6 linked regions of the Rattus norvegicus genome follow. The protein of the gene in region 2 purifies or fractionates together with the protein of the main gene of each other region. This does not show direct contact. Links are inferred from orthologs where the notes say so. Each region holds a gene or a part of one and is shown on either strand. Other genes may lie near its edges. The genes, in order: Anapc13, Cdc26, Anapc2, Anapc1, Anapc7 and Anapc16.

What was found.
Region 1: the proteins of Cdc26 (region 2) and Anapc13 purify together in Homo sapiens (affinity purification with mass spectrometry; 4 studies listed by BioGRID and IntAct, counting the BioPlex papers as one, with this or other methods). This does not show direct contact. The link is inferred for Rattus norvegicus from reciprocal best matches to the Homo sapiens genes CDC26 and ANAPC13.
Region 3: the proteins of Cdc26 (region 2) and Anapc2 purify together in Homo sapiens (co-immunoprecipitation; 7 studies listed by BioGRID and IntAct, with this or other methods). This does not show direct contact. The link is inferred for Rattus norvegicus from reciprocal best matches to the Homo sapiens genes CDC26 and ANAPC2.
Region 4: the proteins of Cdc26 (region 2) and Anapc1 purify together in Homo sapiens (co-immunoprecipitation; 6 studies listed by BioGRID and IntAct, with this or other methods). This does not show direct contact. The link is inferred for Rattus norvegicus from reciprocal best matches to the Homo sapiens genes CDC26 and ANAPC1.
Region 5: the proteins of Cdc26 (region 2) and Anapc7 purify together in Homo sapiens (affinity purification with mass spectrometry; 5 studies listed by BioGRID and IntAct, with this or other methods). This does not show direct contact. The link is inferred for Rattus norvegicus from reciprocal best matches to the Homo sapiens genes CDC26 and ANAPC7.
Region 6: the proteins of Cdc26 (region 2) and Anapc16 purify together in Homo sapiens (co-immunoprecipitation; 5 studies listed by BioGRID and IntAct, with this or other methods). This does not show direct contact. The link is inferred for Rattus norvegicus from reciprocal best matches to the Homo sapiens genes CDC26 and ANAPC16.

What each region holds. Positions count from the first base shown.
Region 1 is NC_086026.1:112,083,197-112,087,204, reverse strand, and holds the start of Anapc13 (anaphase-promoting complex subunit 13), read right to left. Parts: upstream 2,801-4,008; 5' UTR 2,748-2,800; exon of another isoform or gene 2,559-2,747; intron 2,530-2,558; exon of another isoform or gene 2,390-2,529; intron 468-2,389; exon of another isoform or gene 376-467; intron 1-375. UniProt on the Homo sapiens protein: Component of the anaphase promoting complex/cyclosome (APC/C), a cell cycle-regulated E3 ubiquitin ligase that controls progression through mitosis and the G1 phase of the cell cycle.
Region 2 is NC_086023.1:80,872,527-80,876,631, reverse strand, and holds the start of Cdc26 (anaphase-promoting complex subunit CDC26), read left to right. Parts: upstream 1-1,305; 5' UTR 1,306-1,373; intron 1,374-4,101; exon of another isoform or gene 4,102-4,105. Other genes in the region: Prpf4 (U4/U6 small nuclear ribonucleoprotein Prp4), read right to left, coding at 169-346, 1,020-1,046. UniProt on the Homo sapiens protein: Component of the anaphase promoting complex/cyclosome (APC/C), a cell cycle-regulated E3 ubiquitin ligase that controls progression through mitosis and the G1 phase of the cell cycle.
Region 3 is NC_086021.1:28,483,293-28,487,427, forward strand, and holds the start of Anapc2 (anaphase-promoting complex subunit 2), read left to right. Parts: upstream 1-1,335; 5' UTR 1,336-1,340; coding exon 1,341-1,499; intron 1,500-1,735; coding exon 1,736-2,358; intron 2,359-2,594; coding exon 2,595-2,727; intron 2,728-3,483; coding exon 3,484-3,658; intron 3,659-4,135. Other genes in the region: microtubule nucleation factor SSNA1, read right to left, coding at 278-385, 749-948, 1,122-1,173. UniProt on the Homo sapiens protein: Together with the RING-H2 protein ANAPC11, constitutes the catalytic component of the anaphase promoting complex/cyclosome (APC/C), a cell cycle-regulated E3 ubiquitin ligase that controls progression through mitosis and the G1 phase of the cell cycle.
Region 4 is NC_086021.1:136,380,665-136,384,889, forward strand, and holds the start of Anapc1 (anaphase-promoting complex subunit 1), read right to left. Parts: upstream 2,801-4,225; 5' UTR 2,573-2,800; intron 2,484-2,572; exon of another isoform or gene 2,465-2,483; intron 2,435-2,464; exon of another isoform or gene 2,128-2,434; intron 1,496-2,127; 5' UTR 1,472-1,495; coding exon 1,259-1,471; intron 1-1,258. UniProt on the Homo sapiens protein: Component of the anaphase promoting complex/cyclosome (APC/C), a cell cycle-regulated E3 ubiquitin ligase that controls progression through mitosis and the G1 phase of the cell cycle.
Region 5 is NC_086030.1:39,793,849-39,797,614, forward strand, and holds the end of Anapc7 (anaphase-promoting complex subunit 7), read right to left. Parts: intron 3,068-3,766; coding exon 2,917-3,067; intron 1,294-2,916; coding exon 1,104-1,293; 3' UTR 501-1,103; downstream 1-500. UniProt on the Homo sapiens protein: Component of the anaphase promoting complex/cyclosome (APC/C), a cell cycle-regulated E3 ubiquitin ligase that controls progression through mitosis and the G1 phase of the cell cycle.
Region 6 is NC_086038.1:28,478,090-28,481,589, forward strand, and holds part of Anapc16 (anaphase-promoting complex subunit 16), read right to left. Parts: intron 816-3,500; coding exon 649-815; intron 1-648. UniProt on the Homo sapiens protein: Component of the anaphase promoting complex/cyclosome (APC/C), a cell cycle-regulated E3 ubiquitin ligase that controls progression through mitosis and the G1 phase of the cell cycle.

The sequences.
Region 1 (4,008 bases), on a different chromosome or scaffold from region 2:
GAAATTTCACCAGTCTGGCTTAGACTTGGGGAGTTTGATGCCAGGAGGTTTATTTCTAACGGACTTAAACTGGTATGATTTGAAAAAGAGTTTCCTGGTATAACAATTTCTGGTGCACAAGAAAGTGTAATTACATTAAAACTGCACTTAGGGTCCACGACATTCCTTCCAAGAAGGCGGGTTCTAGAGATAGGTACTGGGGTCCAAGGAAGGTCTCAGTCATACAGCAAGAGAGTTCACCTGGGCTATCAGCGACCTTCGCCCTGGCTGTAGGAGCCTGATGTGGTCTGGCCCAACAGATCACTCAGATTACAGGACTGTTAATCACTTCCAATTCCCAGCTCTTTGGATAGAAGAACAGGTTTTACATCTTACCATTGGAAAAACAATCCTGCACGTTTAACATTTTCCCTGGATATTTGTGGGTGCAGGGATCTTTGTGCTGCGATCCCAACATCCAGCCTTCATCCTTCTTGAAAAAAAAAAAAAAAAACCCTGTTTATTTGTGTATGTACATGTGGAAGTCAAAGGACAACGTGGCGATTTTGGTTCTCTTCTTCCATCAAGTGGGTCCCAGAGATTGAACTCAGGTTGCCTGTAAGCCACTAGGCCGTCTTGTTGGCTTTCCTCAGTGTCTGTTCCAAAGGCTCAGGATGCTTGCTTAGGCCCCTGACCACAGACTGCTTCACATGTTTCTCCTCAAACTGTTGCAGTCTAACTCAAAAGACTGGTCGTCAAGCAGTGCTTTTTGGGTTTCTGGCTTCCAAGTTTGTTCCTTATCACAGACACAGCCTATTGTGCTTCTTGCCACAAAGTGGCAACCCAAGGAAAGGTCCTAAGGGTTAGCACCAGTAGCTCTCTCAGGAACTGCTGTTTCTGAGAGAAGGGAGACTCAAGCAAGAAACAAACTTTGCCATACGGCTATGTGCTTGTCTCCAATGGTGTAAAGGCAAAGCTAGCACTATCTACCGAGTCTGCAGGAGGGAAAGGGCTTTCACTTTAAAAAATTAAACAAGATGGGGCCCAGAAGGAGGTTCAGTGGACTGAAGTGCTTGCTGTGCAAACAAGGGACCTGACTTCAGATTGCTGGCACCCACGTAAAAAGCCTGGCACGATGGCACACACTTGTGTCCTCCGGGAGGCTGCCAGGCAGTCTAGTTGAATCAGAAAGTTCCAGGTTTAGTTTAAGATTCAAAGTAATAAAGGAAGACACAGACGTTGACCTCTGACCTCTACACTCATCTACGACTCCACCTGTAGGCAGAAACCACACCTTTTTTGTCTGCTCATGCACACAGACACACCACACACCCGCATACAAACACTGAAGCCAAAGGTGGTCAGCTCCTCCTGCTGAGTGAAAACCAGGTGATGGCTTAGCAGTTTTCCTCAGACTTAACCAGACCCTAGCTAGTGGATAATGCAAAGCTAGCTGAAGAGCCACTTCTAGTCACTCCTCTAGGGCTTGACAAGTTTCCTCCCCTTTCCTGTCAATCTTTTGTTTTTATAGCTGTGTCTTGGGCTACATTTCATTCTTTCCTGTACTGATTTTCCCAGTCCTATACAGACTGCATCCTTTTCTAAAGTGTTCTGACTTCCTTCCAGTTTTTTAGCAGGCTCTTTGTCCTTGAATGCTTTGTTGCTCACATTAAATGATCTATGAAACAAGTTAGGTCAGCTTTGTGATTGACTGGCAGAGTCCTACTGTCTCCAGTGGTAATGCGGTGATTCCCAATCTTTCAACAAGCTGGCCTCAATGTTTGTTTGTTTGTTTTTTAATTATTTATTATGTATATATCATACAGCTCTCTGCCTGCATGTATGCCTGCAGACCAGAAGAGGGCACCAGATCTCATTACAGATGGTTGTGAGCCACCATGTGGTTGCTGGGAATTGAACTCAGGACCTCTAGAAGAGTAGACAGTGTTTTTAACCCCTGAGCCATCTCTCTGAGCCTGGCCTCATGATTTTTTAACTCCCTGAGCCCGGCCTCAATGTTTTTTAACACGACCCTCTCCCACATGCCTACAAACCGGCTTGCTTTTTACCCACCCACTGTACTTCATCAGTTATGCTTGCTCGTCCTTCTAAACAACAGGAACCGCGGCAGGGCTTTGAAGTCTACATCTATTTTCCTGGGTCAGGTGATCGGGTGCTCCCCCTGGGAAAAGCAAGCACAGGCAATGCCCCAAACCCTTACGACACAGCATAACCTCTCTAGGTTTCTTAAACTTTTTGTACTCTTCTCTTACTATGCCCGGTCCTCCAGATAAATTCTCAGCTCTCAGATTGTCTTGATCTCTGAGCACAATATGTGACAACAGGAGTTTTTTTGTCCAGACATCTCTTTCTAGATATTAGATGCGTACGTCCTATGAGACATACTCACGTTTTATGTATTTTCACAATCACAGCTTTGTAAATGTATTTCTAAGCTAAAAGCACGGGGGCCGATACTAAAATTGGCCTTCGCAGGCCACCATCTTGGGTCACTAGACGCAGAACCACCCGCTGCAGCCGTTTCCGGTTCGAGTGCTGGAGCTACTACGTGCGGAAGTGCAAGGGGGAGGTCGAGCGTCGCCATGGGTGCTCCGTTCCACTCCGCACAGCGTGCAGTAAAGAAGTGGCTCTGAAGGTCGGTTGAGAGTACCGGCCTGCGCTTCTGGAAGCGCTGAACGACTCTGAAGTCGAGGGCGAACGCTTGGCTACTCTCAGAAACCCGGGCGGCGGGCGCGAAAAACCCTTACCCACAGAGCGCGCGTCGGCTTCCTCCGGGCCCCGCCCTTCTTCCGGGTCACGTGACGCACGGCGCTCTCATACCCCGTATGTAGGTGAGTCCATTCGCTGCTGTAGGGGGCGGGACGAACGTCGATTTATTGTGACGTGCGCGCGTTCCCGGTCAGAGGAACGGCGGGCAGGCCCCGGGGCGCGCTCTGCCGGGGGCGCGCTCCGTAACCGACCGCATGCCCCTAAGACGGGCGAGCTGCGGCTTGTTGTGCGTTTGCGGCCCTGGCCACCGTGGTGCCGCTAACCTTCTGGCCGCATGGCCCGGGGCCGCAGTTCGTTGCGGCCCACCTACCGCGGGGGCCTCCACTGCACGCCCACTGCTGTCCGGCCGCTGCGTCCCTGGGTTCCTCCGTCTCCTCCCTATGGGGCTCTGAGCTGACCGGCCAGGTGCTACGGCCAGCGGGAGGGCGGGTTGCTTCGCTCCCGGGGAGGAACCCTGCTGCTACGGGTGTAGGACCAGGCCTTAGCATTAGCCACTCAGCGTGAAGTCCGCAGGGTTCCCTCGTAATGTTCGTAGGAAAGGTGCGGGAACCCCTGATGCAGGCGAATTGCGGAACGCTTTCAAGTCGAGTGAAAGTTTTGAAAGAGCAGTTCGATAACAACGCTTTACGCGGAGACACTTGACCGTGAATGGATTGATTGGAAAGGGCTTTTGTACTTCACAGAATCGTGGGGTTACAGAGTTTTCATTTATAAACTGTACACTTATTGCTCAAAGCGATCCCCTTTCTCTCCAACTAGCACCGGCTCTCCTTTGTTGCTCTGGTCGACCAGGCTGGCCTCATTGTAGATGGACCTACCTCTGCCTGCTAGTTAAGGATCTGCACCACCTCGCCTGGCTTTTTGAGTTCTCTTTCTTGAGGCCAATTTAGAGTTTTAAAATGTATTACTTTATTAAAGCAGGGTAGGTGCTCTTTGTACAATTCTTCGAACATTTGCATTTATTTTGTATTTATATTTTGTAAGTCAAAGATCAATGGCTTTAATTATCTAACTATTTACACCTACTCTTAAAGGCTGTAGCTTAGTGATACGATGAAACGAATTATCTTCGTTTCATTCATGAATTATATTCATTCATTGGAATGCAGCGCCATTTTTAGGTAATTTTTGTCCCTGCTTCTTGTCTTTCACTGTGCCGTCCTCAGCGATCAGTTAAGGAGGTTGTCAAACTAAAATGGGTTAGAGATTTATAAACAGATGCATGTCCCTTTAGAATGT
Region 2 (4,105 bases):
GGGAGGAGGCAGAAGCAGTGTGAGGTCACAGGCAAGAGTGTAGTGGAAAGATGAGAATGTGGTTCAGTGGCAGAACAGTTGCCTAGCATGCAAAAAACCCTGGGTTGGATTCCTAGCACTGTTAAAAAAGGGGGGGAGGGGGTGTGTGATTTTCAACTTGCATCTTACCAGACGTTATATTAATATTTCCTGCTTCAATGCCGGCTTTGAGTCCTTCTTTTCCCAAAATCCCAGACTCTCCTTTGGCCAGGCGTTCCCGCTCTTTCTCTTCCAAGCTTCCATAATAGATGTGTGGTTTCTTCACAACAGGAGCAACTAAATCGTCAGGTGCTTTAGTTTTGGTTGTCTGTTAAATCAAAGACCCCGATTAAGGTTTGGTCCTAGCAAACCATGCTTTCCAAAAGAATGAAGGAAATGCTGAGCCTTCATTTTATTTCCTCTCACAACTAGGACAAAGTCGAAAGTGACTTTGCGCCGAGCTCACGCTCTCGTTAAATTTGGCACACAATTACAATTAAACAATTTCTGTCTGATATGTCTTGGTTTGTTTTGGGGCCTGTTACTTTAATCTATTCGAAATGCAATCTCCGATTTTACGAAAATAACTTCTCGCCACTGGACATACACCCAAAACAACCCAAACAATTCGGCGCACCAAGTCACAATGTTACTGGAATACACATTTCAAATACTTTCAGAGCCTATTAGAAGTTGGGAGGCCTCATAAGTACCAGTCGTACAGCTTACGTCAAGACACTGCCCGATTTCAAAGAACTGTGCTTTGGAGCAGTCAGAAAAAGTGTTGTTCACTGCTCAGGGCTTAAGTAAGAGCAGTGCAAAAAGAGCTGCAGTTTAGGCGTTTAGAAATCAGGAAAAGGCTGCTAAGGTCCACACCACGGTCCCCCAGCCTTCCTCCTCCTCCTCCTCTGCCCGGACCCGTAAGGTAACGGCCCTTTCCCACGGGGACCGCGTCCTCCCTAGGAGAGGATAAGCATGAACTTAGATGCGGAACTCCGTACCGTGGAGGAGGCTCGTGAGGAGGCCATGCCGGGCTCTGGAGCCGCGAGGCCCTAGCCAAATCCCGTTCTGCTTTTCAGACCGGGAACCGCGCGCCTAGCAAAGTGGAAGTGCGTCACTGGCCGGAAATGTACCAGTTCGTGCTCTAGGAGTCGCGAAGTATCTTGGGAGTGGTAGTTGCCAAGTGTCGGCTGTCATCGATGGGCGTGGCCTTATAGAGCGGCACAACCTCTCGGGAGAAGAGGCGCGTGGGAAAAAAAGGCGCAGAGCAACTTGGGAAGTGTAGTTCGGGCTGCGTAGCAATGGAGTCAAGGTGGGAGTTGAGGTTCTGGGAAGCTTCAGAGGCCTGAAAAGAGGTAAGTTTGCGAATCGCAAGTCTAATCTGGAACAAACCAAGGGTCTCTGCTCTCCTTCGGGAGGCCTTCCGTCATTTTGAAACCGAGGCCTGTGCTGCCATTGAAATCTCTCCCTAGACTTCTGCAGCATTGGAGCTGGGAAAGAGGACTGTTGTTCACGACGGAAGTTCTCCGGGGGCCCCTGGTAACTGGGTGGCTACGAAGTGATTTTGTGCTTTAAGAAGACATTAAACTCGAAGAGCCTTCTAAGGCTAAAATAGAGATGTGGTGGAGGAGCTGCGGCCTAGTTTGTTGTTGTTTTACTTGTCTACAGCCTGTTCTTTTTATATGTTCTTTGAAATAAAGGGTCCAGGGAGGCGCCAGATAAAGTGTATACCAGCAGCTGCAGTTGCAATGATTGCTAGGCCGTCAGAGATATTTTTTTTTTAAACCCTTACATGAAAGTTGCGGGGATTGCAAAATATTCGCGTTTGCTGAGCTGAACAGACTCATTCTCACTCTTAAGCCTCTTTCTTCCCCGAACAACTCCAGTTAGAAGAGCACTTCCACTTCGAGGGCTTACTAAATGCCACGTTACGCGCAAGGAGCTTATTCTATCTTAGTTATTTAAGTCGCGGGACAACAAGAGTAAAGATCAGAAAATAAATTCTGGTGAGAAAAGGTAATCCGTCGTTCTGGAGCCACAGTGTAGTAGGGTTAGTAATGTGGCGGGTGGACTGCCGCGCTTTTAACCCGTACTCACTGTTGCTCTCTAGTGGTGAGGCTTTCAGTTCATACCCAAGTAGGAAATTATTTTTCTTAAGTATTTCTTCCCTTTCTCTTTGGAGCTGGCTTCCATTTCTCTACTTAGGGATCTGGTAGAAGGTAGTATCTGATAGAATAAAGCAGTTTGAATTGTCACAGGCCAGTGTTTTGTGTTGACCATATGGCCCCTTGAGATGTGATATAATGTGACACTCCTGAGAGAAGTGTAAGAAGTGTAAATGTTTCGTATACATCGTAGTCTTTTGTTTCATTCTGCTAGCATGCAATAATAATTTATATGGATGCACACTATATCGGAACTTTTTTTTTGCGGAACTTTCACGAAGATCATTATCACAACTTTTTATTCTAGTGGTCTATGAGTAACTTTTATAGGAGGCTATTTTGTTTTTTTTTTGGAAGACAGGGTTTCTCTGTGTAGCCCTGGATGCCCTGGAACATGTTCTGTAGACCAGGCTGACCTCAAACTTACAGAGATCTGCTTGCCTCTGCCTTCAGAGTGCTGGGATTAAAGGTGTGTGCCACCACCACCCGGCTTCTGAATTTGTTAATTAAACTGTTTGCTTCAACTTTATAAAACTGGAATAATTTTTCAAGCTTCCCAAGGCTTCTGTATTAAAGTAATATAAAGAATGGGAATGTGGGTTGGTTCAGTCGTAAAGGAGCCCATGCTAAGTGTGGTGTCCTACATAGTAGATGGAGAGAACCAACTCCCAGACATTGTCCTCTGACCTCTGCCTGTGGGCTATGTGCTTTCACCAGCACCCAACAAATAAATAGAACAAACTTTTTTTTAAGAGGCAAAAACTTTTGAGTTATCAAAGTGAGAAGAAAAACCAATAATGGGAGAGTCTAGAATTTAAGAAAAGTTAGTTTCACTTTCTCTATTTTTTATGGCTCAGTTTACTTTGTTGTGGATGCTGTGGAGGACATAGAGACAATACCTTCAACAGATACTAAAGTCAGCTTAGGTTTTCTTTTTTTCTTTTTCTTTTTTTCGGAGCTGGGGACCGAACCCAGGGCCTTGCGCTTGCTAGGCAAGTGCTCTACCACTGAGCTAAATCCCCAACCCCTTAGGTTTTCTTCTTAACTTTTGATTGATTCTTTGTGAACATCACATCATCCACCCCAGTCCCACTCATCTCCCTGTCCCTTTGCATCTGCCCTTGCAACCTCCCCCCTACAATAAGAAAATAAGATAGAATAAACAAAAATTTGTCATGGACTCTGTAGCACATCATGGTGTATCATGGAGTATACCCGTTTGTCCACACACCTAAACTTATAAATGCTCATTCAGTGCAATGAGTCATGGGCCTGTTTTAGGGCCTCTGGCTTTTGCTACACTATACTGGAACCTCACTAGGACTCCTCTCAGATATGTTGTTGCCCTGTGTCATGGAGATGTGACCCTGCAGCTTGTGCAGATCATAGATGGGGTAGATGCTGGGGTGGGCCAACTCAGAGCCCTGGATTTGGTCCTGGGAGGTAGCTGAGTTGATCAGCCTGCCACCTGTATCTGCACCATCCGGGTGAACTCTCCAACACTGCTCCAGCTAGTTTACCCAGTGCCACAGCTGGCAAGGGGGAGTGTCAGCTCTCCTGTTCTCAGGTCTTCAGGGACTACCTCATCCACGCCTTTCACCGGGGCTAGCTCTACTGCTGCCCAGGTGAGTTGCAGGGCCCACTCTACCGGGTGCTGCCAGCTCAAGTGTTTGTTCTGAAACAAACATGGGCTTTGTTAACACAAACCTTCATTCTCCATATGAACTTCTCTGACCTTAAGTCTGTCTGCCTACCCTTCAAATTCACTAAGACACCTTTTCCCATAGGGAATTGAGATCCCTAGCCACTCTTAGGCAGCCCACCCTCGGCTAGATGCTCATGCAGTGCTGTTGAAGGACCCTCCTTAGAGTTCTGTTTTTGCCCTAGATTGGCATGGTCTGTTGTGTTGTGTTTTCCCCACA
Region 3 (4,135 bases), on a different chromosome or scaffold from region 2:
TCCTGGCAGCCCAAGGAGATACAGGAGCTTCAGAAAGAGGCTCCTCATGGAGCTGACCAGGAGCTCAAGGTTCCAATAACACATGTGAGTGCGGAGCTGGGAACACATCTTCCATTGGACTGTCCTGGGGCTTGTCTTGTCACTCAAGGCAGGTGGAGGTCAGAAATTGACACTCAGGGCACCAGAGATAAAAGACATCTGAGGCCATGGAGAACAAAGATGCTTTAGGACAGACATGTTGGGGAGCAGCCATAGGCCACGGCTGAGACAGGGCTTGTCAGCTGTCTTTGCCTCCACTACTCTTCTGGTCTGAAGCCGTGGCTTTAGTCAGGTTCCCAGCTTCTCTTTTGAGTACACTAAGCAGAGTCTGAGAGCTCTCCAGGATCTGGGGCCAGAGAAATAGAAGGATGTTATTTCTCTGGTAAGAAGATTCCCACTGCCTCAGCCTCTGATAGTGGAGGATGGGAATCTCAGTCTGGCCATCTGTGCTGAGTCAACGGGTTATGGAGGATGGTGGGGGCAATAAAATTATCCTCCCTCCTGCACCTGTCCCAGAGCTCTTCCACCCTGCAAAGCCAGGCTGAGTTAGTTCACCCACCACTATGGTACTCTGTCCAGCACACCACTGCTCACTCTCTTGGATCCCACAAACAGCCCACTGTCCGGCCTACAGCCTCTGAACCACAATGGGCCCTACCTAGCCTCAGATGGTAGTGAGGCACTGACAACGCATATCTGAGAGCCCCACCTTGAGGTAGGCGGCCTCTGTCTCCGCAATGGTCCGGTCAAACTCGTTGCGAGAGGCGATCTTGCGCGCCAGGTTCTCGTTGACGCGGGCCAATTTCTCCGTGAGCTGCCTCACCTCATTCTGTAGCCGCTGCTTTTCGTCCTCCTCCTGCTGGATCTGCCGGCACAGCTCCTCTCGTTTCTGACACAACTCTTCGATGCCTAGGGTGGGCGGGAAGACAGAGCTGTAGGTTGGGGCTCGTGAACTTCGGACCCCGACCAGCACGACAGAGGGGAGGCCGCAGAGCGGAGCTCGTGAGGCATGTCGACGCAGCCTCCCGAGTGTGTGGGTTGGCCGGCCCCCGGCCCCGCGGCCTTCAGCGCCCGACGCTCACACTTGACCAACTCGTTGTTGTAGTTCTGCAGCGCCGCGCCCTGTTGGGTCATGGTCGGCACCGCGTCCGTAAGCCTCAACCGCCGCCTGCACCGCCAAGCCCGCGCCTGCGCACTGCCTACACAGCGCGCGCGAGCAAGCGAACGTCACGACTGCGCCACAGCCCGCGCTTGCGTCATCACCGTGCGCTACGCTGGGCGGGTCTGTTTTGTGGACAGTGATGGAGGCCGAGGGTGTGGCGGTATCGGTGGCGGCGGCGGCGGCGGCGACAACGACAATTGTCGCCACGGATGACTGCGACTCTAGGCCTGGACAGGAGCTCGTGGTTGCCTGGAATACTGTGAGCACCGGTCTGGTGCCGCCGGCTGCGCTGGGGCTGGTGAGGCCGGGGAAAGGTTGGCGGGCCTGTGCAGAGTTGCCACGACTTTGTCCTTTAGGGAGTCCATCCTTGGGTCCTCATAGCTCCCGTGCTCTGCCCGTAGTGGGCTTGCCTCCTTCCTCAGCTATCTGATTTGTTTGGTTTCCTGGCAGCCCTTCGGCTGCTGTTTTTTTCCACACCCCTCCTCTCCTTTTACCCCTGTTCCGCCCCTCTGCTCACGGTTTTCCGTGCTCCAGGCATCTTCCCGGACCAGCGGTGCAGTTCCACCAAAGGAGGAAGAGCTTCGTGCAGCGGTAGAAGTTCTGAGGGCCCACGGTCTGCACTCTGTCCTGGAGGAGTGGTTCGTGGAAGTGCTGCAGAATGACCTTCAAGGCAACATTGCCACGGAGTTCTGGAATGCCATCTCCCTTCGCGAAAACTCTGTCGATGAACCCCAATGCCTTGTGCTGCTCCTGGATGCGTTCGGTCTGCTGGAAAGCCGCTTGGATCCCTATCTGCATAGCCTAGAACTCCTAGAGAAATGGACTCGTCTGGGCTTGCTGATGGGCGCTGGAGCTCAGGGTCTTCGGGAGAAAGTTCACACTATGTTGCGGGGAGTCCTGTTTTTTTCCACCCCTAGGACATTCCAGGAGATGGTCCAGCGCCTCTATGGTCGTTTCCTGAGAGTCTATATGCAGAGCAAGAGAAAAGGAGAAGGGGGCACAGATCCAGAACTAGAGGGAGAGCTGGACAGCCGGTATGCCCGCCGCAGGTACTACCGACTTTTGCAGAGCCCTCTGTGTGCAGGATGTGGCAGTGACAAGCAGCAGTGCTGGTGCCGGCAGGCCCTGGAGCAGTTCAACCAGCTCAGCCAGGTCCTGTAAGTACTGCTTCCTGGCCATGCCTCAGTTTCTTTAAAAAGATCTCTGAATAGAGCTAATAAACTGGATGGCGAGGTCTTTTTCGCCTATACTTGTGACCAGGGATTATTGTGTATCAAGTGTATGCTGTCCTGGACATAGGCCTAGGGTGTGTGTACAGTGTCTTTCTGGGAAGACCCCTTCGGGTAAAGGACACATGTGTTGTGGGTTCTCCATAAGCGGGGATCTCCTCCAGGCATAGGCTCAGTCTGCTGGAGCGGGTTAGCGCTGAGGCCGTGACCACCACCCTGCATCAGGTGACCCGGGAAAGGATGGAAGACCGCTGCCGAGGAGAGTATGAGCGCTCTTTCTTGCGTGAGTTCCACAAGGTGAGAATCTCCTCCTTGGTCTGTTTCCTGTTAAGGGCAACGATGGGGTTGGGGTAGACCTAATAGCAAACAGTGGAGTGGTGATGGTTGAGATTATCTTGCTGCCGTATAGAGGCCAATCTTGGACCCTGGTGACAAGGACAAATCTGGTATGTACCAAATAGGTCTGTGCATTTAAAATAAAACCTTTAAATCCTGGGCCAGAGGTGGCTTCAAGGAGTTTCCTCAGGCAGGTGTGGCAAGACAGGTCTACCAGACCCTTTTCTTTCCACTGTCCTATAAAACATATGTTGACTTAACAGTTCCCTTCAGGATTAACCTATAACCAGTCTGGAGCTAGGCTGTCCTCAGTGAATGCCTCTGGTTGTCCATACTCTTGAGGTATGGTTTGTAATTCTTCTGTGGGGTTCCCAGCATTGTGAAGAAGCCAGGTTGAGCTCCATGCAGTCGTGCACCTTGTTTCTGCTTCAGTCCATACCTCCCACTCTTTGAGTGTCTGTCTGCTGCAGATGCATATTAGCCATGGTAGGGAATGATCAAAGTGGGTGTCCCCGCAGTGTTAGCCGTGTAGAGTCATGAACCTGGGAACTCCTGGGGCAGCTGCATTGAACCCTGGGCAGTGGAGTGTAGATCTGATACTTCTGGCCTCCATGCACAGGTCGGGGCTCCACTAGCATCCTGCCGAAGCTGTGTGGTTGCTGAGTCAGAATGGAGCTTTTAAATGTTATTACACCTCATACTAATGATCTTTCACAGTGGATCGAGAGAGTGGTTGGTTGGCTTGGCAAAGTGTTCCTTCAGGACAACCCCAGCAGACCAACTTCTCCAGAAGCTGGGAACACACTGCGTCGTTGGCGCTGTCACGTACAGAGATTCTTCTACCGAATCTATGCCAGCCTACGTATTGAGGAGCTTTTCAGCATCATCCGAGGTTGGTCCTGCTTCTTACTTTGCAGGACCTACCTTTCCCAGTCATTTTCTTTGCCTTACCTGCTGCTGTTGGCAGGGTGATAAGCTGAGCAGAGTGGACTTAAGTATAACATGTAGGAAAATATAGTGTCAGGTTGTAGAGATGTCTCATCAGTTAAGATGGCTTGTTGCTCTGACAGAATACTCAGGTTGTTGTCAGCACCCGTGTGGCAGCTCATAGCCATCTGTAGCTCCAGTTCCAGGAGATCAAGAACCCTCTTCTGCCCTCCACTGGTACCAGGCATCCACATGGAGCCTATACATCTGGGCAGCAAACAGTCCCTGCAAACAAATACTCACATGCATAAAGATTTTAATCTTTTTTTTTTTTTTTGGTTCTTTTTTTCGGAGCTGGGGACCGAACCCAGGGCCTTGCGCTTCCTAGGCAAGCGCTCTACCACTGAGCTAAATCCCCAACCCCAAGATTTTAATCTTAAAA
Region 4 (4,225 bases), on a different chromosome or scaffold from region 2:
CTATCAGGGGATTCTCGAGATAACATAAGAGAGGTAGGAGAGATGGTTCAGTGGTTAAGAGCACTAGCTGCTCTTCTAGAAGACTGGGGTTTGATTCTCAGCACCTACACAACTGTCTGTAACTTCAGTTCCAAGAGATCCGACGCCCTCTTCTGGCCCATATGGGCACTGCACACACATGGTGCAGCCATACAAGCAGTTTAAAAACTGACTCAAAATTCCTCTATAGTGTTTTATTTTATACTTCTAGGTCCCTAGTATTGCTCTGCCAATAACACAGGCACACAAAAAGTATATCTTACATATAGAGCATAAGATAAAATCCATGCTTGAAGGGAAACTAAAAGTATGTATTAAGTGTATGTAGAAGGCAGAAAACAGACAGAGGTGCACATGGGACTCTATGGGGGACTTGATGCAGTGTGGACTTCCCTGCTTCACAGCTGCAAACACAGTCGTCCTCTTTCCCTTGTCCCACACATAAGATGAATGGAAGCTAGAAAGTTTCTGATTTCTACCTATGTACACACCAAGAGATTTGATTTCAAAGGCATGTGAAGATGAGGTGCAGCAGCAGAAGAGAGGAACAGCTTGGTGGAAGAGTGTTTCTCTCTCAAGGCAACAAGGCCATGACATTGGTTTGGCCCCAGCATGAGTCCTCCACACCCACTTCCACCCCCAAAAAATCAGGAGCTGGGTGAGGGATGATACATAGGAACTACTTTGTTCTAGTGTCATTTTTCTGACGTACTTTTGCATCTCATCTCCATAATTAAGAGATTTGCCAGGCATTGTGGCACACACATCTAATTCCAATATTCTGAAGACTGAGAGAGAGGGTCAAAATTCCAGGGCCAACCTGGGCTACTCAGTGAGGCTCCAACTCAAAAAAAAAAAAAAAAAAAAAAAAAGGTACTGCTACTCTAACACTCTTATGTGACATCAACCCTCTTCTAGAAACGTGTGTTGCAGGTACCATTTCGAATCTCTAGCATTTAGTCACCAAAGAGTATAAAACCTGATTATCCACATATGAAGTGAAGATAGTTTAAAGTGAGCCATGATTGAAGTAATCAACTCTCTTTACAAGTTACACAGCATGCCTAAGTAGGCAGCACCGTGTTTCAGCACTGACTGAAATTACCAAACACTAGCTTTTAACCAAGTGCCAACACACGCGTATTTCTCACATGCATACAGGAAGCTTTACACTCATTCATTCCGTGTTTCAAATGTATGATGAGAATCTTAATAAAACCTTCTGTTTCTCATGGATCGTAACCTCCTGAAGAGATCCCACCAAGCCAGCTGCACCATCGGAAGACCATAACTCAGAAGCTGGCTGCAGCTGACGAAGCTGAAGGTTCAGAGCATTAGGGTGGTGCTTGCAGTGGTCTCGACCAAAAGGAACGAATTCCTGCAGATCCCCGGCTGCAATCATCGTTGCCCTTTCTTCAGAGAAGTTCGACATGGGTTCCAAATATCAACATTATTTCTGTGTGAAATCAAACACATCCTTGTCAGCCTTCTAATCAAAACTAACTTATCACTACAAAGGCCCGGATGGAGCTATGTCAGAAACATGCTGGTCTACCTCGCAGACATTTCAACACACTGGATGTAAAGATAGCTAACATTCTAACATTCTGTGGCATAGTTTGTGCAAGTTTTGTCTTTGAGAAAACGTCTACAACAGCATTTGATAGCAACACTACAACCAACTGTTAGTGTTTGGAAAGGAAGGTAAGATTAACAACTGCTAACTAAACTTGACTTGAAGCTCTCACCTGAAGCTTTTAGACATCTTTTTTCTTTTTTTTTTTACAATCACCTGAAAGCCTCTAGTTTATACGAAGCCCTCTATTGCTACAAAGTCTTCCTTGCTGTGACGTAAATGTTATCACTGATATGATTACCTCACCTCCTAGAAATAAAATCAATATTGAGAACAGAACTTAACTGAACCACATATGCCTTATACAAAGTAGGAAAAAAATTCCAAGGTGTGGCTGGCCTTTCCAAATTCTATTCAACAAAGCAGGTAACATTAAAGAACTTGCAACTCTGCCGGACTTTTCCTTGTGCAAACATGTAATGTCATCCCCTTGTAGCTTAAAACAAACCTACAGGATTGCTTTTTACAGCATCATTTTCACAGTTCGACGTCTTTTAGCCCAAAGGCATCATACTTAATACTTTCACAGGTCTCCAAAAGTTGTTAAACTTGTTATTCGTTACAGGCCACATCAAAGCACGGAGTTGACATGCTAGAAGTAAAACTGTTATTACTGGTTACTAGATACATATGCAAACAGCGGGACCCTGAGTTGGGTCTACAAAAATAGGCTTTCCGTGCATTTGAGTAAACCGCGCTACAGGCGCAGCGGCCGGAGCATCTGGCTCAGTGCGCGGGTCGCGTCGGCCCAACCGGAAAAGCCCAGTCTGAGACTCGGGTTCCTCTCACCCCAGCACGCTCTCAAGGCCCGCCCCAGAGCGCTCAGCCGTTGGGTCACCCGGTGCATCGAAATTCCAACACCAAGTTGCAGTGATGCGCTACCCGGCCGGCCCGCACCTGAGTGACTCGGGACGCGTCAGGCGCTTGCGAGCCCCGGCTGCTCCCCGGAGGCACAGGGGCCCCGAAGGCCCGAGAGCAGCGGCAAGACGGTCACGATGGCTCCTCGTCGCCACAGTTTCTCATCCCTTTTCCCTCTCTGATGTCGGAGGAAGAATGGGCCGCAGCGTGATACCAAAAATTGGCGAAGAACTCAAATGAATGTATCCATCTTGGATTTCCCGACCTGCCTCGCGCCACCACAGAGCAAAGCGGGGACGCGCGGCAGCGGAGAGGACCTGGCGCCTGCGCAGTTGGAAAGGGTGTCTGTGCGAGTGCCTACGAAGGCAGTCATTTAACGACTTTACCTCTCTAACAAAATAAATCTCTGAGATCCTGAGCTATCTTCTCAATTTTAAGTTAAGTTAGGTAATTTTTTCCAGCTGGTTGAGTTTCCTCCTCATCTCAAAAGGGGATGTGTGCCTCCTCACTGAGGAATGGGAGCGCAAGGGAGGCCGCTCATTTTCTCAAGATTGCAAGGAAAACATTCTGCCCGGAAATCACACACCCCCACCACCCAAGATGGGCTTTAGTCCCTTAACTGCTCTTGGTCATAAAAAAATGGCGGGCCTCTCACTGCCTAAAGAATAGAGCTCCACTCTACTTCTCTGCCCCAAAGGCAGTTAGTTGGAATTTGATACCTTCATTTTAATTGTCGATTGTAACACACACCTTGATATTTTAGTTCATTCTTATTTCTTTTCTTGGAATGTCATCCTACAGAATTTGAGGCTGCACTCCAAAAGGAAGCTCATAGAACTTGGTGAGTGGAATGCCTGTTTAGCTAAAATTTTCTGCCTGGATATTCAAAAACGGTTAAATTAACACTCATATTCCACATGCTCTGCTCCGACCTCTTCATTCCTTCCCGCAAAACCTCACCATCCTGCAAAGGTCTTTCTATCACCAACAAGGCTATCTGGAAAAAACGAACAGAAAAGTGTTGCGGGTGTGTGTGTGTGTGTGTGTGTGTTTCTGACCTGAGACAAGGGGCTGAGGTGCGTATTTTACATATCAATGCAGGAACCCAACAAAGAGCACTCATCATTCTCCATCCTCTCTACCCCTTCCCCTTCACAGGCTGCCTATAACACCATCAACCACACCAGTAGTCACTTGGAATAGAAGGACACCCAACTCTCCACGATGCTCTGAGCAACCAAGCCACTATCATACTCGAGTCTGTGATATCTTCTGCTACTGCCAGCCTTGGATGAGGGATATGGGAGTTGGCTTCTGAAGAGGCCATACTTAGAAACCCAAAACGTTAGGGAGCAAACTGGTCAATGAATGAAAACAAGGACATGAGCACTCCTAGATATGGTTGAGGAGGTTTTTATCATAGATCTGAGGGAAAGAACAGCCAGAGACTGGAAGAGTCTGCACTGAATACTGAACACAGGCTGCAGAATAGACCAGGCCATGAGAGGATTGGGGAGGGAAGGGGGACAAGAGAGAAAAGAGAGAAGCACAAGCAAGCCAAAAGAGATCAAGAGCAGAGCCAGGAGGACTAAGAGAGAAGCTGGGAACCAAGCAACCTGTGGCCAAAATGGCTGGGTTATATAGGGAAAAAAGGTGGGGGAAGGGAAGCTAACTGTGGAGCTGGAGGGATTT
Region 5 (3,766 bases), on a different chromosome or scaffold from region 2:
GGTTCAATTTGTGGCTGAACAGATTTTGCCTTCTCTCAGCACTGACTGGTGAGTGGGGCTGCTGGCGGGGTGGAGTCAGGAAAAGCACCACCCACATGCTGCTTGCTCAAAGGGAGCCTGAGACTGCTCAGGGCCGGCTAGTGTGGAGGCTGAGGCTCACTGACACACTTTATGAGACCTGGTCCGCTTAACTTATGTCTCTTAATGCAAATCTTGCAGTGCAGCCCAGCACATTTGAACTGTCTGCCTCTGCCTCCCAAGTGCAGGCTTCCGGAATGTTTCCACCAGACTACGTGGCCCACTTCACTGCACTGACAGATGCTCTGAAATCGACTACGGATTCTTTACAGTAAACCTCATTTCTTCCTAGCACACCGATCTGCATCTTGAAAGGCACCCAGGAGGGACCTGGAGTCGACCCATCCCCAGTAGCTGAATGAGACTCTAGGCAGATGATCAAGGCTGACCCTGCCCTCAGGGACTCAGGAAAGAGCCAGGCTGGTTCTGTGTGACAAGCTCAGGGCTCTGCCTCCCAGCACATGGGAGAATAGGGAGTATATGTATGTCAAACTGTCTAGGCCTGCATGGCTGCCTCTGACAAGGAGGAAAAAGGAAGAGTCTCAAAGGGTGTCCACTGTGACATGTGACACCACACTGGGCAGTTTTATTAGTTGAACCTGCCCTGGGGTGGCCATGCTCCCATCATCTGCTTCTCAGATCTGCCCACTGAGGCCGAGCCTGCTCTGCAGTCAGTGAGGCACAGCCCGCCCCCCCCCATCCAGAGCTCCATGACTACAGGAGTGTGGCCGTACCAGGATGTGACTCCCAGGGACCGAACCTCTGACAGGGCCACCCAGGGGCATGTGCTCTTAAGAGGATGGCTCAGTCCTATGTACCCGCTCATAAAGAGAAAAAGCATCTTCCATTTCGTGCAGCCGAACCATCCAGAATGGCGAGTCTGTGGCTCGGAACTCGCTCAGTCCACAGCAAAGCAGACGGACAAACATCAGTGCCAACTTGAGGAAACAGGCAGAAAGGCCTGCTGTGAGCACACGTCCAACAGCTCCTGCCACTCTAGGGACACAAGGGTCACCGCTGTGCCCTCACTGCATGCCAAACCACTGCTCCTGGTCAGCCCACTGGGCTGCCTCACTGTCGCTACCCTCCAGGTCCCCTTCTTCCCCACTGCCCTCCATGTCGTCCACGTCGTCCTCCTGAGTGGCGTCTGTGGGGCTCCCCTCCTTCTCCATCTTCTGCATGCCCTCCAGGGACTTCTGGTCATTGGGGTCCAAACTGAGGAACAACAAAACAGAAGACAGGCCTGAGTCTCTGCCCTGCTTCTTGGGACTGTCACTGAGCTGGCCCAGCAGATATGACTAAGCCAGAGACGTTGCAAACAACTGTGCTTCCATGGCTGGACCCAGGGAGTCCATCAGAGATGAAAAGGGACATTATTCGGAGTTTTAGAACTTTTAACTTGAAGGGGCCGGAGAGGTGGCTCAGTGGTCAAGTGCATCTGTTGCTGGGTTCAGTTCCCAGCACCCATATATGACTCATGACCAACAGTGACCCCAGTTCCCAAGTATCTGACACCCTCCTCTGGCCTCTCTGGGCACCAGGCACATACATGGTCCACAGACATTCATGCAAGCAAACCCATCCACATAAAATAAATTAATAAACAATTCACTTTAAAATGGCAATTAAAAATTCTAACTTCAAATTTTCCTCCAAAAAGTTTTTAAAGCTCCTCAAATACCAAGCCCTTAACTCTCCTGTAGGCAGTGGAGGCAGTGGGGGAAGTGGAGGCAATGGGAGGCAGTGGGGGCAGTGGAGGCAGTGGGGGCAGTGGAGGACAGTGGAGGACAGTGGGGACAGTGGGGGCAGGGGAGGCAGTGGGAGCAGGGGAGGCAGTGAGGGCAGTCGGGGGCAGTGACCAGACAGAGCAGCGGTGCTCGCAGAAGGCCTGGTGCTTGAGGCCAGGCACAGGACACAGCCCAGCACATCCAGGAGGGAAACAGGATCAGGACACCCGGGCAGCCTCGGGTACATGATGATTGCATGTAGCCTGCCCCAGGCTGGTTATTCTTCCATGTGACTTTATACCGTGGACTGCAGGCAGCCACCGCCGTCAACCATGCTACACTCTGGGACAGATCATAAGTCCTGAGGCTAGGGGCTGGACTAAGACAGTTTCACTAGTAGCAACACCATGAAGCCCAGAGCCCAGGAGCCTCATTTATTTGGCTCCTAAGAAAGCTTTAAAAGAAAAGTCCTAGAAATTTACATTAAAAAATTAAATGTATTATTGTGTGTACACACACACATTGTCTGTGCGTTGTGTAAAAGCCATGGCGCACACGTCAGAGGACAACCTTGGAGTCAATTCTCTCCTTCAACCTTTACATGTGTTTTGGGAATCGAACTTGGGTCTGCACGATTATGTAGCAATTATTATCTTGATACCCCTAGTTAATGCCCAATGAGGTAGGTATAGACAGGGAATTGGTTAGTATTTGACCAAGATAACAGGTAGAAGCTGTACTCAAACTTCGGAATTTAAGTTTTTAATTACTAGAGCAGACAAAACCAGAAGCACACACTTAGCAAACTCTGATCATAAAAAGCAGAATGTAAAATATGTACTCGGCATAAGCCTATGACGTCATGGGGGTGTGGGCAAGCACAGGAGAGCCGCACAGATCAGTCTGGGTGTTACTCTTATGTGGGCTGGAGAAGGATGATCATCTCTAATTCTTCTAATATGCTTTAGGAAAATATGTCAGGAGTCATGAATTTGCAAATACCTTCTCTCATTGCTATTCTTAGCCTGCCTTCACCTTGGGCACAGCTGTCTGCAGAGCTGCCTGGGCCCTGCTTCCTTTCCTCTCCTCCCCATGGAGGCCGGGCACCTACCTCAGTGCTATGCTATACTGGTCCATTGCTTCCTGGTACTCATTCACAGACACCAGGAAGTCCCCCAGGATGCGGTGCAGGACGCAGTCGCTCTGGTTGGCCAGTGCATTTCTCAGCAGAGCAATTCCATCTTCGTACTTCTGCTCCCTGCCTGCAGAGAAAGACAACCTTTACTGCTCAGCTAGTGCACAGTCACACCCACTATGACACGACAACTTTCTCAGAGACCCCCTCAAAGGGGCGCTGCAGGGGTGAGGGGCATGTGGTCTCTAGTTCATTGGGAAATGACATGAGTACTGTGTCTTTAAAAACCATGCATCCATGAACTTATTTATACAGTGGTGTGGGCAAGCACACACAGCACATGAGAGGAGGTCAGAGGACAATCTATCTATCACGCAGGTCCTGAGGACTGAACTGAGGTCGTCAGTCTTGGTGGCCTCTTTACCCAAGCCACTGAGTCTGTGCCCTGAATCTTTAAAAAAAACTTTTTTTTTTTTTTTTTGCAGACGAGCTGTCCTGGAACTCCTCTGCAGACCAGGCCAGCACCAGATGAGGCCAATGGCCCTGAACTAGAACCCTGAACCAAAATACCCTCTTGATAGCATCAAATAAACTTAGGAATATGCCAGAAGCAAAAAGAACAAGAGAATCCAGATAGCTCAGAACCAAACTGACCAAAGTCAGCTGTAACACACTAAACGAGTTCAAAACTAAACCAACCAGATGAGTTCACCAGCTACCAAGTAACGTTAACTGGTGTAAACCAACCTAAGCAGGTCTAAGCCACATCTGGTGTGACACACACAGCACTTCAGGCAGGTGCAGGCAGAACTGCTCCACCATCTGT
Region 6 (3,500 bases), on a different chromosome or scaffold from region 2:
TTTAGCTTCTTTTGTTTCTTTCCTTTCCTTTCCTTTCTTTTCCCTCCCCCACCCCCCGTCTGTCTCTCTCTGTCTCTGTCTCTCTCTTTTTAAGAAAGAGGGTCTCACTGTACACCCCTAGTTGGCCTGGAACTCACTATGAAGAAGAACTTAGAGACATCTGCCTGGCAAGACATATTTAAGTTCAGTGTCTCACATGAGTCTTATGCTTCTACCATGAATCACCAGTTTACCTAACATGAATCCGATACGTTCCAGTCACTAACACCATTTCATGGCTGCTGCCCGTGACCTATTTCTGGCCAGCCAGTCTGTGTGCTAAGACGGTGGCTGCAAATCTATCTCCAGTGCTATAAACCATGCGGTCATACAGCCATGTCTGGCAGTGGCCCATGAGAGTCACCTTCACAGAGGTAAATACATTAACTCTTATTTCCCCTTCAGGCCTCTCTGGTGGGGTAGATACTCACTAAAAAGAAGATACATCAACAGGCGTTACAAGACCACCTGGAGCAGGAGATCAAGAGGGTCCAGAGCCAGTGGCAACCCTGGTCAGGTTACTCAAGGGCCCCCAGCCCCAGCTCCTTTACATTTTACATGCATTGAAGGTCTGAAGCCAATTATTCAGCAAACACAGCATGAGATCACCTTCTAGTATCTCTCCAGCTCCTTTCGGGTAGGTGAACAGAGCTTTCCGTGGTGGGGCAAGGTCGGACACACTGAAACCAGATCCAGGGACAGAACTTCCACTGACCCCACCAGCTGAAGATGAGGATGAGGAGGCGGCCATTCCCTCCAGTAGAAGTCTCTCTTCACTAGAGGAAAAAAACAGCAATTGGCAAGTTTATAAAGCCAGATGGACGACACTTCATTCTGGCCCAGTAGGACCAGCTTTCCCTGTCCTCCATCCTTATATAGTCTTTTATAATGTCACGCAGGTTTTCAAGTAAATCATGTTTAAGAAGAGCTTGAATGTGGGGTTGGGGGATTTAGCTCAGTGGTAGAGCGCTTGCCTAGGAAGCGCAAGGCCCTGGGTTCGGTCCCCAGCTCCGAAAAAAAGAACCAAAAAAAAAAAAAAAAAAAAAAAAAAAAAAAAAAAAAAAGAAGAGCTTGAATGGGTATGGTGGGACACACCTTTAATCCCAGGAGCTAGAAACAGGCCGATACGTGAGAACTGGAAGCCAGCCTGGTCTACCTAATGAGTTCCAGGACAGCTAGGGATACACAGAGAAACCCTGTCTTGAAAAACCAAAAACCAAAACCAAAAGAAATCTTGCCTAGTTAGAGAGCCCTATTTTCTCCCATTAACCCATTAACGAATTATGCCACTTGGGATTGAATGTGGATAATTCCTGAGTTATGAAGGGAGATATGGCAGGGCCAAGGCAAAAATGGGACCACAGATAAAATACTACTACTCCACAGGACAGTTTGTCTTGGATACACTCCTCACCAAGCCAAGCCACACCACCAAGTTCGCTTATCAGGTTTTCCAAGTAGGAGTCCAGAATAACACTGTGTTCTGTTCCCAAGGAAGGGAAATCAGTGAGGAAATTCATATTGGCACGTTCATTAAGAACTCATTAATCTTTTCATCTAAATGTCATACCTAAATCCAACACTTGGTGGCGCCCCAAAGCTGGAACAAAAATAATTCAGGATCAAATCTCAGAAACAATGGTCCTTCATGAACTGAGCATCTGTGGGCTTAATTCTGCATCCCATCTGAAAACCCGGACCCCAGTACTGAACACATGTCTCACAAAACTCAGAACAAGAACACAGCCTCAGAAGCCTATGAAGACTCTACAGTATATATTTTAAGACTGGTTAGTACCATGTTTATGCCACTTAGAACCTGCACCTTGGAAATTCTCTGATATTCTAGTTCTGCCCAATTTGGTAGCCATCAGTTTCATGTTGTGTCTAATAATGTAACTGAAAAGCTATTTATGTCCATTTAAAAATACTAGATAAAATTTCAATAATGGGGCTAGTGGTTTCTCACTGGGTCAGAATTCTAGTATTTAACTGAACAAATGACTTTACACAGGAGTAGTGGTGTGTACTGGGACATTTTAGTTACACAGGAGGCTGAGGCAAGGGATTTTGTAACCTGGAAACATAGCCGAGAGCCTGTTCCAATAACAATGGACAATGGCTAATCTTGATATTATACAGATTTCAGCATTGAAAAAAAAGACTTTATTTATTTATAGAGAAGGTCTTAATTTGCTAGCCTGGAACTTACTATCTATCCTGACCTGGTCTGAGCGATATTCAAGGCAACCCCACTGTGTCACCTTCCCAAGTGCTGGGATTATGGTCATGTGCCACCACGGCTGGCTTTGAATCAATCTTTAAAATGAATTTTCCAGGGCTGTGGATATTGTTTACTTAGGAGTATCTGCCTAGTATAGAGGAAGCTTAGTTCCAGCGCCACATAAACAAGGCATGGTGGCCCAGAAGTAAGATTCTTGTACCTGGGAGGCAGAGGTGGAAGAACCAGAAGTTGGAGGTCATCTTTGATTATAGCAATTTCAAGGCCAGGCTGGGATACATAAGATCCCTCAATTGGACAAAACAAAATGCAAAAAAAAAAAAAAAAAAAAAAAAAACAAAACAAAAAAAAAAAAACAAAATGCAAAAAAAAAAAGAAAAAAGAAAACAAACAAAAAACAAAAAACCAAACAAACCCAACAACAACAAAAAAACCAAACTAATAAAAGCACAACTCCCTCTGTTATGGTCAAGGGGAATTGTGCTGAGTCGTTTTTACTCATTTCCCCCTTAGTTCTGACATACTTGCTAGGAAAAGTTGAAGGCTGGGTTATGACTCAGTGGGGGGAGCACAAGCTATAAACATTTCATGCTCTAGTTTCAATCCCCAACACTTTTTAAACAGAAAACTGAAACACTTTTTAAACAGAAAAATACTAGAGAATACTACGTTCCTGTAAATCCTTTATGTCCAGACCATCTCGTTTCCTTCTAAGGAAAGTGGTACACGCAACCTGAGATGGTGGCTGCTGGCCCAGAACTATGTGGCAGTGACATGTGGCTGTCAGAGAGGCAGAGCCTGGTTTCTAGTTGCATCATATGGCCGTCGTAGGTTGCATTAATGAACACTGACATGGGCTAATAGTAAAACTGCTGCTGTGAGACTAGCAGCCTGTTATGAATAAATGCAAACTCATTAACTAGCTCTTTTCCTTTCAACTTTTTTTTTTTTTTTAAATGGGGTCTCACTGCTTAGCTCTGGCTGTTCTGGAACTTGCTATGCAGTTCAGGCTGGCCTCACACTCACAGGGACCCATGGGCCTCTCAGTGATGGTATAAAAGACTCTGCCTGCAAGCCCAGCCGCACTGACAATACTCTCAATTTTGTCCTTACATTACTTTCAGAATTTACTTGTTCAGGGAAAGTAACCGTTTCTGTGGAATTTATAACTTCTCTTTTGTGGTACATCAGTTTGAAATATAGCCTAGTAAACTTTTAA